Pelodiscus sinensis: one gene and its partner. The protein of the gene in region 1 interacts with the protein of each later gene in a pairwise test. Links are inferred from orthologs where the notes say so. Each region holds a gene or a part of one and is shown on either strand. Other genes may lie near its edges.

Region 1 (7,748 bases):
CCATCAAATGACATTAAAGGTTTAATGCCAATCTGATTACCACACTGCCAACTTCTTAACATTTCTTGGAAATTTCACAGCAAAAAGCAACAGAAAGGCTACTGGCCAAGAAGTGCCCCAGTTAGAATGGCACAAACATACCCCTATTAATATTTAAATATTAGGGTTTTCATATTGAATTGATAACACAAACACCCTCAATTTGTGGAGAAATACATGCTGAAAACATGACACTCATGAATATGTAAAGCATAAACAATTAATGTTCTGTTAGTAACAGCAAAGAGCTGACTGGGTGTGGCACATCTTTTTTTTAAAAAGTACTGCTAAATTATCAGTACTTAGCAAGTAAAATATTTTTAATCTATGAGGCTGCTTGTCATGTGCCTTACTTCTCGTTTCTCATGGAGGGAGTGTGTATTCTTGAGCCAGGATGTAAGGAGACTCACAAAGGTTTATAGTAGTCACTTGATGGCTGAAGAAAGAATTCCCAGGAAGCTAGGATGGCACATTTGAGAACAGGAGAGGATGCCAGTACAGTTAGCCCCAGAAATTCTGTGTATGTGTGTGACCCCTGCATCCTATTGAATCAACAAATGAAGTGAACTATAGTGCAAGACTTGGGCTGAAAACATTTCCATAGCTCAAATATGTCAGCACTGCTTGCTTGACAAAGCTGCAATGTAAATAACAAATTAAGGCCTGAAGAAGGGCAGCAGAGAGGTCCAAAACCCCAAAATCGCTTAATTTAGATTTAAACCATATTCCATTACTTGAAGACACTATCCAGAATAAAGATACAGCACCATTTCTTTATAAAACATCTCTTCACAAAATATTTTGCACCATATTCTTCACCATGGGATACAGTTAATTCCACTCATTTGATTGTGCCCTACGATAGGAGACTCGGACACTATACTTTGCAACTTTTTCACTGTTCATCTGTACATTCAAATGCATCAGCATCCAATATAACTATTAGTTTTTAGAGAGTTGTGAGCTAGATGGTGGGAGACTTAAAAATATATAAAAATACAATTGATCAAAAACGTTTTCGTAGCAATTAAAGATAGAAAAGACCTAGAAGGTTTTAGTGGCTCTATCAATGACAAATTTGTTCCCTACAGTGTGTGTGTGTGTGTGTGTGTGTGTGTGTGTGTGTGTGTGTGTGTGTGTGTGTGTGTGTGTGTGTGTGTGTGTGTGTGTGTGTGTGTGTGTGTGTGTGTGTGTGTGTGTGTGTGTGTGTGTGTGTGTGTGTGTGTGTGGATATATATGTGCTTAACCTGTCTAGTTTTAAAGAATTTAAACAATGGGGTTTCCATCATGTTCCTGGGAAGACTTTTCCCCTGGCCAAGGGAGGTGGTGGAATCTCCCTCTCTGGAGATATTTAAGAACAGGTTAGATAGACATCTGTCAGGGATGGTGTAGGTGGAGCTTGGTCCTGCCTTGAGGGCGGGGGGCTGGACTCGATGACCTCTTGAGGTCCCTTCCAGTCCTATTATTCTATGATTCTATGATTCTATGAGTTTTCACCTGATGTTCCACTAAAATTTTTCATTATTTAATATCATTCTGTAACTCCTAGTTTTAACTCCTCATATCTCCTACATAATTTTTCTTCCTGCAGAACAATGTTCCCTCTAAGATTTTTCATCAATGTGCAGAATAAATGTTGTTATATGCACCAAGGCACGTGCAGTTGTGTACCACCAATAGAAACACATGCTGCTGGCTGTGGTCAGCTGTTAGCGCTCTGCCTGTCAGCTGGGCAGCGCCTGAATCTCCCCTGGGTAGCCACCCAAGCGCTCAGCTTACAGGGAACACTGCTGCGGAGAGCCCATCCTTCTAAGGCAAAATTCCCATTGACTACAAATGGGACTTTTGCAGCAATATAACACAGAATCTGATTCCTGTTATTTATACCCTTCAAGTAATGGCTGACAGCTACTACATCTCACTACAGTTGTCGTTAAGCCAGTTTCTCTCTTTAGGCCTGATCCTGTGCCCATTGAAGTCAATGACACTGTTCCCATTCATTTTAATGGTGAAATTATTAAACTGAAGCCTGTTCTCTCATCCAAATCATAGAGGGTTGTGCCAAGAAGCAGGAGCAAGATTGTATGTAATTCAACTATTCTGGTAATATTCTATTCTATCTACTTTAGGGATGTAAAGGGTTGACCTGGTAAACATGTGCTTTACCAGCATGCTTATTGGGGTAACCAGTTAACCAGTGGGAGGTTCTTCCAGCCGGGTTTGGCCCATCCAGAGCAGATCCCCTGCTCACAGTGAGGTGTGGTGGAATCGTCCTGACCTGGCCAGAGCAGCCCCCTGGAACGAGGTGTACAGATAGTGCGGAATGGCTTGCTAGTTTGAACTATCTAGCCCGTGTCGCGTGTAGCCGCGCGGCACGGGGTTCGAACAAGCCGGCATTTAAAAATGGCGCCAGCCGGCTTATGCAAATGAAGCCCGGGAAATTCAAATCCCGGGCTTCATTTGCAAGTGCGGTATGCCTACATTACCCCGCTAGTTCAAACTAGCGGGGTAGTGTAGACATACCCTATTTTTCAGTATTTGTTTCATGTTTGATAGCCCTTCACATAGAGTAAGTGTGACTTTGTTTTAGCTGATGTGCAGGAGGAATCAGCACAGGGATTCTCTTCCCTGCTTAAGTGCAGCCACCAGAGACTCTGGGGCTGTGTCTAAACTGGTAAGTTTTTCCTCAAAATCATCTGCTTTTGCAGAAAAACTTGCCAGCTGTCTACACTGGCCACTTGTATTTCCGCAAAAGCACTGACGATCTCATGTAAGATTGTCAGTGCTTTTGTGGAAATACTGTGCTGCTCCTGTTCGGGCAAAAATCTTTTTCTGAAAGACTTTTGCACAAAAGGGCCAGTGTAGACAGCTCAGATTTCTTTTCCGCAAAAAATCCCCGATCGTGAAAATGGCGATCGGGGCTTTTTTGTGGAAAAGCGCGTCTAGATTGGCCACGGACGCTTTTCCGCAAAAAAGTGCTTTTGCGGAAAAGCGTCCTGCCAATATAGACGCGCTTTTCCGAAAATGCTTTCAATGGAAAACTTTTCCGTTAAAAGCATTTCCGGAAAATCATGCCAGCGTAGACGTAGCCTGGGTGCCTGTGCCAGACCAGTCATTCTTTCTCCCCAATTTGGATCACCACAAGCAGTAGCTCAGCTTATGCACAAGCTTGGTGAGAGCAAAGAGGCCTGTGAACACCACAAGCTAACTGAGAACACACCCAGAATGAGCACAGCCAGTATGGGGCATGTCTCAGACATCAGCACTCGGTTTGGCATTTGCTTAGTTCACTCCCCTCTGCACACGCAACTGGTATGGCACAGCATGCATCATGACTCCCAGAGAAAGGGAGTCTGCTTTCCTCCTTAAACCCTAGCCATGCTCCATCTTGCACTTGCCCCGAACCTGGCCTCCCTGTCTGGGCATGAGACCCTCAGCTTTGTAAAGCACATAGATACCCCTCCCCACAGTATGAGAGCCAAGGCAGAGAGTCTAGATGCTATCCACAGGGCAAGGAAAAGGCATGCAAAATGTTCTGGCCCCTTTTCTCTAGTCCCCTCCTCAGTGACTCCTTCCATGTCTGAATCTTCTATTTCACCCTCTCATCCCCTCCTCTCCTTTGCCTAATCCTCCCTGCCTCTTGCTTACCCTCCTCTGTTCTCCCACCCTGCCACCTAAGTCCCTACTGACTCTGCCTCTTACTGACAGGGTTGCCAACTCTCCGGGAGACTCCCAGAATGGGTACCCATCTCCTGGTGACTATTGAACCATAGAGTAGATTTTCATAGGGGCTGCGTCTAGACTAGCAAGTTTTTCCGCAAAAGCAATTGCTTTTGCGGAAAAACTTGCCAGCTGTCTACACTGGCTGCTTGAATTTCCGCAAGAACACTGATGATCTCATGTAAGAAATCAGTGCTTCTTGCGGAAATACTATGCTGCTCCCATTCGGGCAAAAGTTCTTTTGTGCAAAGCTTTTGCCCAAAAGGGCCAGTGTAGACAGCTCAGATTTGTTTTGCGCAGAAAAGCCCCGATTGCGAAAATGGCGATCGGGGTTTTTTTGCGCAAAAGCGCGTCTCAATTGGCACGGATGCTTTTCCGCAAAAAGTGCTTTTGCGGAAAAGCATCCGTGCCAATCTAGACACTCTTTTCCGCAAATGCTTGTAACGGAAAACTTTTCCGTTAAAAGCATTTGCGGAAAATCATGCCAGTCTAGGGTGGTTTAAGAAAGCCAGGTTACTTCATATGGGGGGGGAGGAACAAGTCTAGGAGTAGCTTCAGTCAAGAGTTGGCAACCCGACTTACTGACCCTTCCCCCACACCATGCCTCCTACAGACCCCCATCTGTTCTTTGTGCCCTCCCCGCCCCCGCCTCCCCCAGCCTCCCGCCCTGACCCCTCATTCCGAGCCACTGGCCCCCACTGCAGAGCGCCCCGGCCCGCCCGCAGCCTTTGTGAGCAAGTCGGGCAGGGAGTGGAGGGAGGGACCCCGGCGTCCCGGCCCGGCCCCGCCCGGCGCGGGGGAGGGGGCTCTGTGCCGGGCGGGGCAGGGCTGGCTGGCGGCAGAGCGGGCCGAGCTCGGGGCGTGGCGGGGGTATAAATACCGCCGCGGGCAGACGCTGCCGCTCTCCTTCGCCTGTCGCTCTCGCAGCCGGACCCTGCACGCCTGGGATTACAAAGCTCCGGCCGGCCGCCGCCATGAGCACTACCAAGACCTCCTCGTACCGCAGGATGTTCGGGGGCGGCAGCCGCCCCAGCACCTCGGGCAGCCGCTACGTCGTCTCCTCCAGCCGCTACTCGCTGGGCAGCGCCATCCGCCCCAGCAGCAGCCGCATGGTCTCCTCCTCGCCCGGCGGCCTCTATGCCACCAAGTCCTCGGCCCTGCGGCTGCGGAGCAGCCTGCCCCCCTCGCGGCTCCTGCACGACACCGTGGACTTCTCGCTGGCCGATGCCATCAACACGGAGTTCAAGGCCAACCGCACCAACGAGAAGGTGGAGCTGCAGGAGCTGAACGACCGCTTCGCCAACTACATCGACAAGGTGCGCTTCCTCGAGCAGCAGAACAAGATCCTGCTGGCCGAGCTGGAGCAGCTGAAGGGCAAGGGCACCTCCCGCCTGGGGGACCTCTACGAGGAGGAGATGCGGGAGCTCCGCCGGCAGGTGGACCAGCTCACCAACGACAAAGCCAGGGTGGAGGTGGAGAGGGACAACCTGGCCGACGATATCCTCAGGCTGCGGGAGAAGTGAGTGCCACGGGGCGGATGGGTGGGGAGGGGGCGCCCAACCTCGCTACTTCCACCCAAGAGCTGGGGGGAGGGTCGAAGATGCAGTCGGTACCCTCAAAGTGTGAGAAACTTCCTCCCCTGCGCCTGAGAACAGCTGGAAGCTGTTCTGAGGCTTCAGCATCAGGGAGGTGGCGGGAGCGCACAGATCCAACCCACATGGTTAACTAACGGTTTGGGCACGCCTGAGCTAATTTACCACCGTGAGCCAAAACAAGGCTGATGTGTATTAGTCACGGGCTCTTCTAGTACAGATTAAAGTTCAGGGAGCAGGATTTCGTGGAAAACCATCACGAGTGGTTACCATCGTCTGAGAATCCCAAAGTTCAGTCTGATATTTTAAGACCATGCAGTCAAAAAAATTACAAAAGTTAGCTTTGCCACTCATCTGAGCCCTTAAACTTAATTGTGTTGCTCGGAGACTCTTACAAGTTTTTGGTGGCTTTACACACCAAAGTTTTGAAAGTCAATCAGCTTCTTTAAATATTGCTGCCTAACAGAATTTGAATTTACCAAAAGAGGGTTTAAAATCAACCCAAATCTAGGTCAGCCTCTTGTTGCTCATTAGCTGAATAAGCATTAACGGTTTTGGCACTGCTTGTGTTAGGCTGTCTGTGGATTTCAGACTGCTGCAACAGCAGAAAGCTGCAAAGCCCAGTCATGCAAACTTAATAAAGAAGGCACAGACCAGAAAAATGTCAGAATGAGATGCCTTTTCTGAGAGGCCCCATCTTCCCCCTCTGGGATGTTGGCTGGGTGTGGCTACCAGCTGGATTTTACCAGATCCTAGTGCTGAGGTTCTCTTCTCTCCTGCCCCCCACCAAAGTTAATAATCTATATGGTACTATTTTCAGGTTGCAAGATGAGATGATTCAGCGAGAAGAAGCTGAAAACACTCTGCAATCTTTCAGACAGGTTTGTAGTAATTTTTGTATATTAAAATGAGTGCACTGAATGTAAATTCAAATGTGTAACATTGATATAATGTTGGATGTAGGGCCACCTAGTGGTAAAAAGCAACTTGTAAAATTGCAAGACTTCTCTCAGTACCTCCAGGAAGTTTATCAAGGGATCTGCCATTCCTTTAGTCTAGACAATGCTAAAATTAGAAACAGTTAAGTTTTAAAGTAGCTAGAACATATAGCAGGTCTGATTTTTGAACAAATTTGCAATGAACAAATTGAAATAGAAATGTTGTCTTGTATGAATAGGGATAATGTCTGACCCATCATGTGAAACCTTAGCAGCAAATATGCAAGATTTGAGGGGCTGGCTTTTTAGTCAACGTGCAAGTTCACATGTAATAACTACTTGTTTTTCGGTGGGGTGGGGGTGATGCCTACATGGGCAAGGGAACTGCTATTGTTGGCTTTGTCCAAGACTAGCCAATTCTACAAAAGCACTCCAATGTAGAATCACTTTCTGATCCAATAAGGGTGAAAGGGAGCCATCTGCTCGCTTGGCTGAAGGGTATTAATGGTTTCTATGGGATTCACTATGGAATGCAGATACAGGCATTATGGCAAGTGTGGTGGCAGCAGATTGAAATAATAGAACTCTTTGTATTGAAGAGTGGCTTGCTGTAGGCTGCATTCTTACTGAATGTGTAATGATGTAAGCGTAGTTAAAGTTTTATAACACCAGTTATTTTAGATATGGCCCGTCTTGATTCAAAATACCTACTACAGGAAGAACTTGCCTCAACATATGAGAATTTTTTCATATTAAGGTTTTTCTACTTACAAGTCAGATAATGCTGTCTTTCTTGCTGTGCCCACATTTTAGAGGGAGGTCATGACCAGGGATACTAGTTTTCCATGATAAACCCAAAATTCTGACTAAAACCATGAATCTGCAATTAAAATGAGATGCTAGCCTTTGGTTTTCCTAGCCACTATATACATCCATTGAACACAAATTATGATTGAATTCTGAGTTTGAAAACTGAGTGCCTGCTATAAATAATAGAAAGTTAATAGAATTCCAAATTTTTTCTTGAACATGCTGATACATGTGTACTTGATATAATAAAGCTTATCCAAGCTTCTATTATCCCGTTTACCATCTTAACCAAATTACCAGCAGCCTGAAGCCAATTGTCTGAGCCCTCATCTTAAAATAGCAATATTCTTTGCCAATTCTTCTAATATATCCACATTTTTGATTTTCTGATCTGCCCCAAACCCCAATTACATTAAGTAGGGTTTCACAGTGTGATTTACATTCTGTCAAACACTACTAATGATTCTAACTCCCTTATCTGTGCCTCAGTTTACACATTTTACAGCTGTGGGGAATAACTTTGTTGGTAAAGTTATTTGAGAACTACTGTGTAAACGCTACCAGAAGTGTTCTTGCAAGCTCAGACTTTGTTACCAAAATGTCTAACTTGGACTATATATTTAGTTGGGGATATAGTTCTTGGTATTTT
Region 2 (7,564 bases), on another chromosome or scaffold:
TGCTTCCATGCTGATGGTGGAGTCTGCTAAATAACAACCCAAAGCAGTGCACAGTGACACACATTCATTTTCATCATTTGAGTCAGATACCACTAAGAGAAGGGGAATTTTCTTTTTTGATGGTGTAAGTTCTGTAGTTTCTGCAGAGTGTAGCTCTTTTACTTTTAGGACTTCTGACAGCATGTCCCACAATTCATCCCTCTCAATGTTTGGAAGGCACTTCAGATACTTAAACCTTGGGTCAAGTACTATAGCTATCTTAAGAAATTTCACTTTGTTACCTTCTTTGGCTGAACAAGAAATAAGACTGAGTGGACTTATAAGCTCAAGCTTTATATATTTTTGGTTTTGAATGCAGTTATGTTAAAAAAATTTACATTTTTGAAACTGCAAGTGCACGATAAAGAGATTGCACTACAGTACTCTTATTAGATGAACTGAAAAATACTATTTTTAGTCTTTTTACAGTGAAAATATTTGTAATAAAAATAGTAGTGTAACATTAGCTCTGTACACTTTGTATTCTGTGTTGTAATTGAAATCAATATATTTGAAAGCAGAGAAAAATCCAAAAAGATTTATAATTTTAAATTCATATTCTGTAATTGTTTAAAAGCAAAATTAAAACTATAATGAATTGCAATTACTTTTTTATCTTGTGATTATTTTTTAATCATTTGGCATCACTGAAGATACTGTCAAATGTTCAACAGTATGGTAGCACTGTAAAAAAAAAATGAACATTTTAGCTCATTCTCTGGCCTTCGCAGATTTCCCACAAGGGCAGACTCTGAATGTATTTTTTCTTTGAATACAACCAGAGAAATTGAGTCAAGTCTGTTTCCTTTTAACATCCAGATGTACATTCTTTTAAATAGTAAATGCCTCTAAACTATTTTCTAAATTGTAACTGCAAAGTAACTTGCACCTATGAAAATAAATGGTAGTTTGAAAGATCTTGTTCAGGAACAAAGATATTTATTTAATCTGAAAATATGTGTGTCTGCAGTTCCATATTACAGATATAATAAGACATGGGTTTGCTGACATTTGTCGCAAATGCTTTAGAATAAGAACTGGAAGAGAGCAGGTGCCCATATGAAACAGAAATATACCCAGCAGTTGGAGTATAGAAAACTGTCAAAACAATATCTGTCTAAATATGCATTATAAAAAAAGATGAACTGCACATGAACTTGAAGGATTGTTTACATAAACAAGTAGAGCTTTTGAGTATAACAAGCCATTTCTTCTAATCAGCCCAGAATAAGAGGGTCTATTATCACCTATCATCTACTAACTTACATTTCGGACACTGTTATTTTCTTTTAGTGATGGGGAAACAATATGCAAGACCAGTTTCTGCCATAAGTTATGCAGTATTTATTGGCAAGCTATGCTGTAATTTAGGAGAGAAAACATGTTATAAATGTCTATCATAGATTTCCAATGTGACCTTGAGCAAGTTGCATGATGTAACCTTTCTGTGACTCTGTTCCCCCAACTGTAAATTGTGAATAATATTCCCCTCCCTTATAGAGGTGTCCGTAAAGTCATGGGGGTTGCACAGTTGCAATTGTATTTTCTACCAAACCCCTTTTGCGATTGGAATTTAGTTACCGAGTCTGCTGGTGTATGAAAAGTAATAGAATACAGGAATTTTTTTTTTGTAGCCATGTTGACTCTGGTAAATCTTTTAAGAGGAGTAAATCTTTATTCTCGTCACAAAGGGCTAGATCGTGCCCAGAATAGGGGGACCATGTGCAGTTGCATTGCCTCACTGAGAGTTTGAGGAGACACTTAACAGAAAAAAATTCTCTGAACTCTCCGACTTTAATGGGAACATGCCTGCTATTTCATTCTTTTCTTGGAGGCAATTTGCTAGCTGGGTGTCTCCATTCTGCTGTGCATGCTGGTTGGGGGAGCATGCTTTTCCCTCGGGGCAAGCAATTTTGCCTGGTCTTTAAACAGGCTAGAGACAGGGGAAGGCTTCTTGTGCCCTCCCAATCACAGCATGCCCATGTAAGAGTCATGTATACTCTGCCAGTGGTGCCAGCCACACTGGGATCTTGTCTGCTGAATAAGTAGATGCTATTTTAAAACAGTCATTTTCAGGTAGAATCATACTTTAAAAGTAAAATGGAAGGCTCAAATTCTGCCCTCAGGCAAAAACCCCATTTGACTTTCAGGGAGCTGCATAGGGTCAATGCAGAAACACATCTCCTTCATAGTCCCATAAATTTTCATTCTAATCTTCTAATACCCTAACTGACTGCAGGGGAGCTACAATCCTTAGACACCTTTTTGTGTGGCTCACAACATAGACTTCAGTTTGCCTTAGGTCTGGCTTCCTACTGAGTTGCATCATTTTATTCACAGAGCTAACCCTCAAGACCTTGCTCTGTTTTTAGTCGGTCCTCATTCTGACTTGAAGGCAAATCTCAAGTGAATGTCAGTAAAAACTGAGGTCACAATTTGTAAGAGTCTGTGTTTTAATATTTTGTTTCACAGCACTTGGATGACAATAGGCACCAATTTAGTAAAATTTAAATAAATACATTGGAATGATAGTCTATATTTAAGGAACTATAGGATTAAAAGTTCTTAAGATCATACTCCGCCCCTCCTTTTACACCTGTGCAGCCTTGTTGACTCCATTGAAGTTGTGAGAAGAGGGTTGGATCCATAATCCTCAATTAGGGGCTCAGTCCTGCTCCATTTTACATAGGCACAGCTGAGTTGTTTGAGTGTAACTGAGGGCAGAAAGTATCTCTGGGGTTTTAAACAAGAAGGATTTTTAAATGAATGGGCTGAGGATTTTCCTCAGGAACCATCTGTCACATTCAATCATCTTTCTTCTTTCTAAAAAATGGCTTTTGAAACTTGTATAAACAGTCCGAGTCCCATGGCACATCTTTCACAGGGGCAGAGTAAGCACCCAAGTAATATCTTCACTTAGTCTCTGACCATATAAGGAGAAAAAATGTATTTTCACTGCAACCAACTTTGGTGTTGACTGTAAAATGCACCCTCAGCTGAAACTCTTCTATTGTACATTTGTTTTAACATAGGCACACCTTGTCATTCCAAAGGGGGAAAGTGCTGAGTAAGTGATCCCCACAGCGCCTAGGCAGACTATCTCCTTGATCCCACAAGCAAATGCTATTGTTTGTAAGATGCTCAGATTCTGCTCTGGAGGGCCTGAACATTGTTCCCATTCAAGGCAATTAGAATAGCACTCACATGCCTAATAGCAGATGCCCACCAGTCTTCTGTTCAGCACTGCCAGAAGCCGCTGCATACATCTGGAGATGAGCCATGCACAATATAAGTCAATGCAGGTTGCAAATGGTTGAGGGCACAAGTAATCTTAGACCCCAACCTCAGGGTGTAAGCAGAGGCCATCTCAGTTGTAGTTCCCCAGCACAGATAAGCTCCTGAACCACTACTGGTGAAATATGGAAGTGGGGGCAGAAAAGAGACATGTCTCCATTTTCCTGATGCTTTGCCGATGGCAAAGTAGTATGCATCCCGCTCCCCCATACTTGCACACCTTGGGGCTCCTTGGGTCAGATCCCTGCCAAAGTTCCTGCTGAGATTATGTAGGTCCACACCATATCCAGAACAGATCAAATACCAAATGAGCATGGAATTTATAATCTACAGTGAAATGCAACAACACTATTCAATTAGATAGGCAAATACAAGGATTTGTCACAGTGGGCTAGATTCTCTACCCCACTCCATTCAGGCTCCATGGAGAGTAGGGGTATGGTGGTTGTAGCTCCCTAATTCTCCGCTGTCTAGCACCAGCCTAGGTCAGTGTTGCAGAGTAGCAGCTCAAATTTATATAGGCATAAGGTACTTCACTAATGTTACACCTGTGGAGGATATTTGGTAGCAGACCTCAACTTAATCATACACACCCTTTACCTCAAGCCTATCTTGTTTGTCTCCTCCCTCCTCTTGTGCCAGGGTTGTGGGGTGCAGCTGAAACAAGAGACATCTTCCATCATCTCTCCCAGGTTTCTGCCAGCGAAGGGATGTAAAGTAGTAAAAATATTTGTATATATTTTGAATGAGTCATTGTCAGCATTCCTAGAATACAAATAAGATCGGATTACACAATGAGTTGTACTGTCTTATTTCAGAAATGATACTATAATTGAATACAAAAAATAAAGCTTTTAGGGTGGGGGAAAGTGGGTGTTTTAGGGGAGCTGTGGATCATGAAAAGTTGCTCTTATAAACAAATGTACTTTAACAACACAGCTCCTAAAGAACTTAAAATGTGCCCCTCAAAACTGGGTGTGGAATGTAGAAAAGAATCCTACTTTAAAACACAGGGTTGCCTTTAACTAATAAAAGAAATCTAAAATTGTCCATTGTCATAGCTTTAACATTGACATTGGTTGCTTTGGCAAGCTTTAAATACTAGGCTGCACTATAAAACCTAAAAATGTCCTGGACTTGAAGTTGTTTACACAAAATATGAGCAGATATAAAGTTACAGAGGTGGGGGTGGAAGAAATGGCTTTAAAACCATCCTCCATGTACTGACGTCACATGGAACCCAGCTGCCGGGAGGATGCCAAATAGAACTGTTTTTCAGTTTGCAAAACTGAAGTTGTGAAGTTAATCAAAGAGAGTTGCAGTGCTGCTCCGATTGAAAAGTTCTCTCTTTCCTGGCTTCTTGTTTTCTTAAAGGATCAGGATTCACAGAACTGGAACTCCTTATCCCATCTAGCTATGCATTTCACTGCTTTCACTACTACACTGAGAAATGGACTGAAAAACTTCTGAAGGATTGCTTACTCCACAAAAGGTAAGGACGTTTGGAAATCTCAGTGATTTTGGAAGAATTATGGCCTTATTTATGAAATAGAAAAGAAAGTTAACAATACTCAGTATTAAGGCAGTAAACAGTTTGACCAAGGTTTCTTGTAAACATCTGCCTCATTTTTATATTTGCACCTAGAGCAATAATAATTTAAAAGTGTGATGGTGGTTGTTTATTTCTTAAAGAAAGGCTGTTCCATGGTTCAGCCAGTGTTTCCAAACCATGGAATGATTTATTAACAAGAAAGAGATGACAGCCCATTTTTGCCAACCTTTTGTTTTTAAATAATAGAATGACACTCTGAGAGTTTCTTATAGGTTTAATACAAAGTGCATAAAAACTATGATGCCGACCATTTCTTTACAAATATATAAATAGACCTATCATTTATTATCCATCCAGAAACCATCACCTTATCTTACTGTGAATTAACCACTCATAAAAAAGAAGAAGATCTGTTTATCTGAATAGCTGTGTATGTCCGCTATCGTTAATCTGTGGTGAAAAATAACACCTCTTCTGATGTCGCAGCACATTATTTTTAGAAGTTGTCATACCACATCAGAAATTCAGTTCAAATTATTTTGCATTTTTATATGAACATAGAGGGGAGGTGGAGGGAAGAAAGAGTAACATTAGAGACCAGGAGTTGCCTAAACTCTTTATTTGAGAGGAGGAAAGGGTACAGTGAAAAGATAAATACAGCTGATGTTGACAAAATTGATTATTTGCATAAAGTTGATTGCTGTAATGAGCTTTTGACCTTGTCTAGGACATGTGGAAAGTGCCAATATAGCCAGATTTCAGACACTGTAATGTTCCACAAGGCAAATGAAAATCATGGTTGTGCTGGGGTGATAGGCTTTCACATGTGAAAGAAAAAGGTATTTTAATAAAAAGGAAGCAGGGTTTTTTTTTCATTTGTTTGTTTTGCTCAAGCCATGTGGAGTACCTGTGGGAACAGCCCAGTGTTTTATACAAATGGTGAGTTTAATAGCAGTATTAGCGATTGGGATCTTATTTCTAGCTTTCAGAGAGAAAGAAGCAAAGAAAGAGACAACTATAGGGGCAGGGGTCAAAGTCCTCTGAGGCAGTGTTTCTCAACCTTTTTTTTAATAAAGTACCCCCTCTTTAAATAAATATATATATATATATATATATATATATATATATATAGAAATATATATATATATATATATAAAAATACCCCCAGTACCTACAGTTTTCAGACACACAATTTTTTTTCTACTATTGCAACACATTTGTTTAAACAACTTAATCATAGCCGGGAAGGCAATGACATTTTTGGGTGTAAAAAGTACAAAAATAATAAAACATTGTAAAATTTAAAACAAAAATTCAGTTATCTCCAAATTTCAGTTGTGCTGACATACCCCTTCCTCCCCCAGACTTCTCTTGAGTACCTCTAAGGGTACTCATACCACTAGTTGAGAAACACTGCTCTAAGGAATTTACTCGGTAGATTTACTGCAGTAGCGGCCATCAGAGCAAACATCAACAATCATGAGCTTCACTATTATTATTTGCATCTTAAGAGGAAACGTGAAGGGAATAAGAAGTGATATGAAAAGGAAAAGAAACCATGAATGAGAGAGAGAAGCACTTTTGATGGAAAATTACAGTTACAAGCAACTAGTTGCAGCTAACTTTTTCTGGGACTTCATTGCATTTTGATAGTTTCCACTCTGTACCCATCTCAATATGTCTTTAGTTTGTTTTTGCACTGATCTTTGCTGCATGTATCTGAATCATTCAAGAGAAGTCAAGTGAGTGAATAGAGAGATCAGTTTGGTTAATTCCTCCGAAGTCTCTTGAATAAGTTAAAAACGTCTATTAAAAAAGTGAATTACTTCTGGTATGTCCTTCTCCTCCCCAATCTTCCTTCCCCCACAACTTTTGTAGTAAATAAATGAAAAAAAAATTGATATGACTAGATATGCTTCATAGATTGAAACAGATATTCAATATATTGAGTTCAGTTGGCTGAAAAAACTCAGAAAGTGGGTGCTGCTCATGTTGCGGATCCAGCCAAATCAATCTTTTTTGCCCAATAAAGGGGTGAGGAGAGCTTTGCATGAGGCTCAAAAGGGAATTACAAAATTAGATGTAAACTAGTCTACTATATATTTGAGAGAGTTTGTGCATCTGTTTGTCTGTCCATCTGTGCATCTGTTTGTTCAAGAACTCCTCCTGAACCATAAGAGTTAGGACTACCAAATTTAGTCTGCAGCTTCCTCTTATCATAATTTAAAGCAAGGTCAGATTTTTGGTTGTTCCAGGACAATGGGATGTGCATGGATTGTGATTGTTTCTCATCAAATGGAACAAGGGGGCTGTGATAGCAGGAGAGTTATACTCCAGAATAACCACAGAGGGGGAGCAAGCAAGCATGCCCCCAGCAGCCTCTGAGAGCCACAGAGCAGCTGCCATCTGGGCAACATGGCCCCCATTGGCCTCAGGGGGCAACACTATCACCCTCTAGGACCCAAGCAACACCAGGTAATTCTTTTAGTAATCACTACATTAAAGGAAACATGTTCAATAAAGGGAGTAGTTCTTCGTGATCTTACAAATTACATTGACACAACCACTGATCACGAACCAATGCAATCTGCAAGTTTATTGTGAAAAGATATGAATATATATGTTCACTTGATTAACACAACTGTCTGTTCTGAAACCCAAATTTAAGGAACACACAAA

Evidence for each region. The genes of interacting proteins can lie anywhere in the genome.
Region 2: the proteins of VIM (region 1) and KIAA0408 interact in binary tests that used the Homo sapiens proteins (3 or more experiments, as listed by UniProt). The link is inferred for Pelodiscus sinensis from reciprocal best matches to the Homo sapiens genes VIM and KIAA0408.

The regions. Positions count from the first base shown.
Region 1 is NC_134712.1:218,778,074-218,785,821, forward strand, and holds the start of VIM (vimentin), read left to right. Parts: upstream 1-4,649; 5' UTR 4,650-4,733; coding exon 4,734-5,278; intron 5,279-6,171; coding exon 6,172-6,232; intron 6,233-7,748. UniProt on the Homo sapiens protein: Vimentins are class-III intermediate filaments found in various non-epithelial cells, especially mesenchymal cells. Vimentin is attached to the nucleus, endoplasmic reticulum, and mitochondria, either laterally or terminally.
Region 2 is NC_134713.1:90,712,048-90,719,611, reverse strand, and holds the start of KIAA0408 (uncharacterized protein KIAA0408 homolog), read left to right. Parts: upstream 1-4,561; 5' UTR 4,562-4,825; intron 4,826-7,564.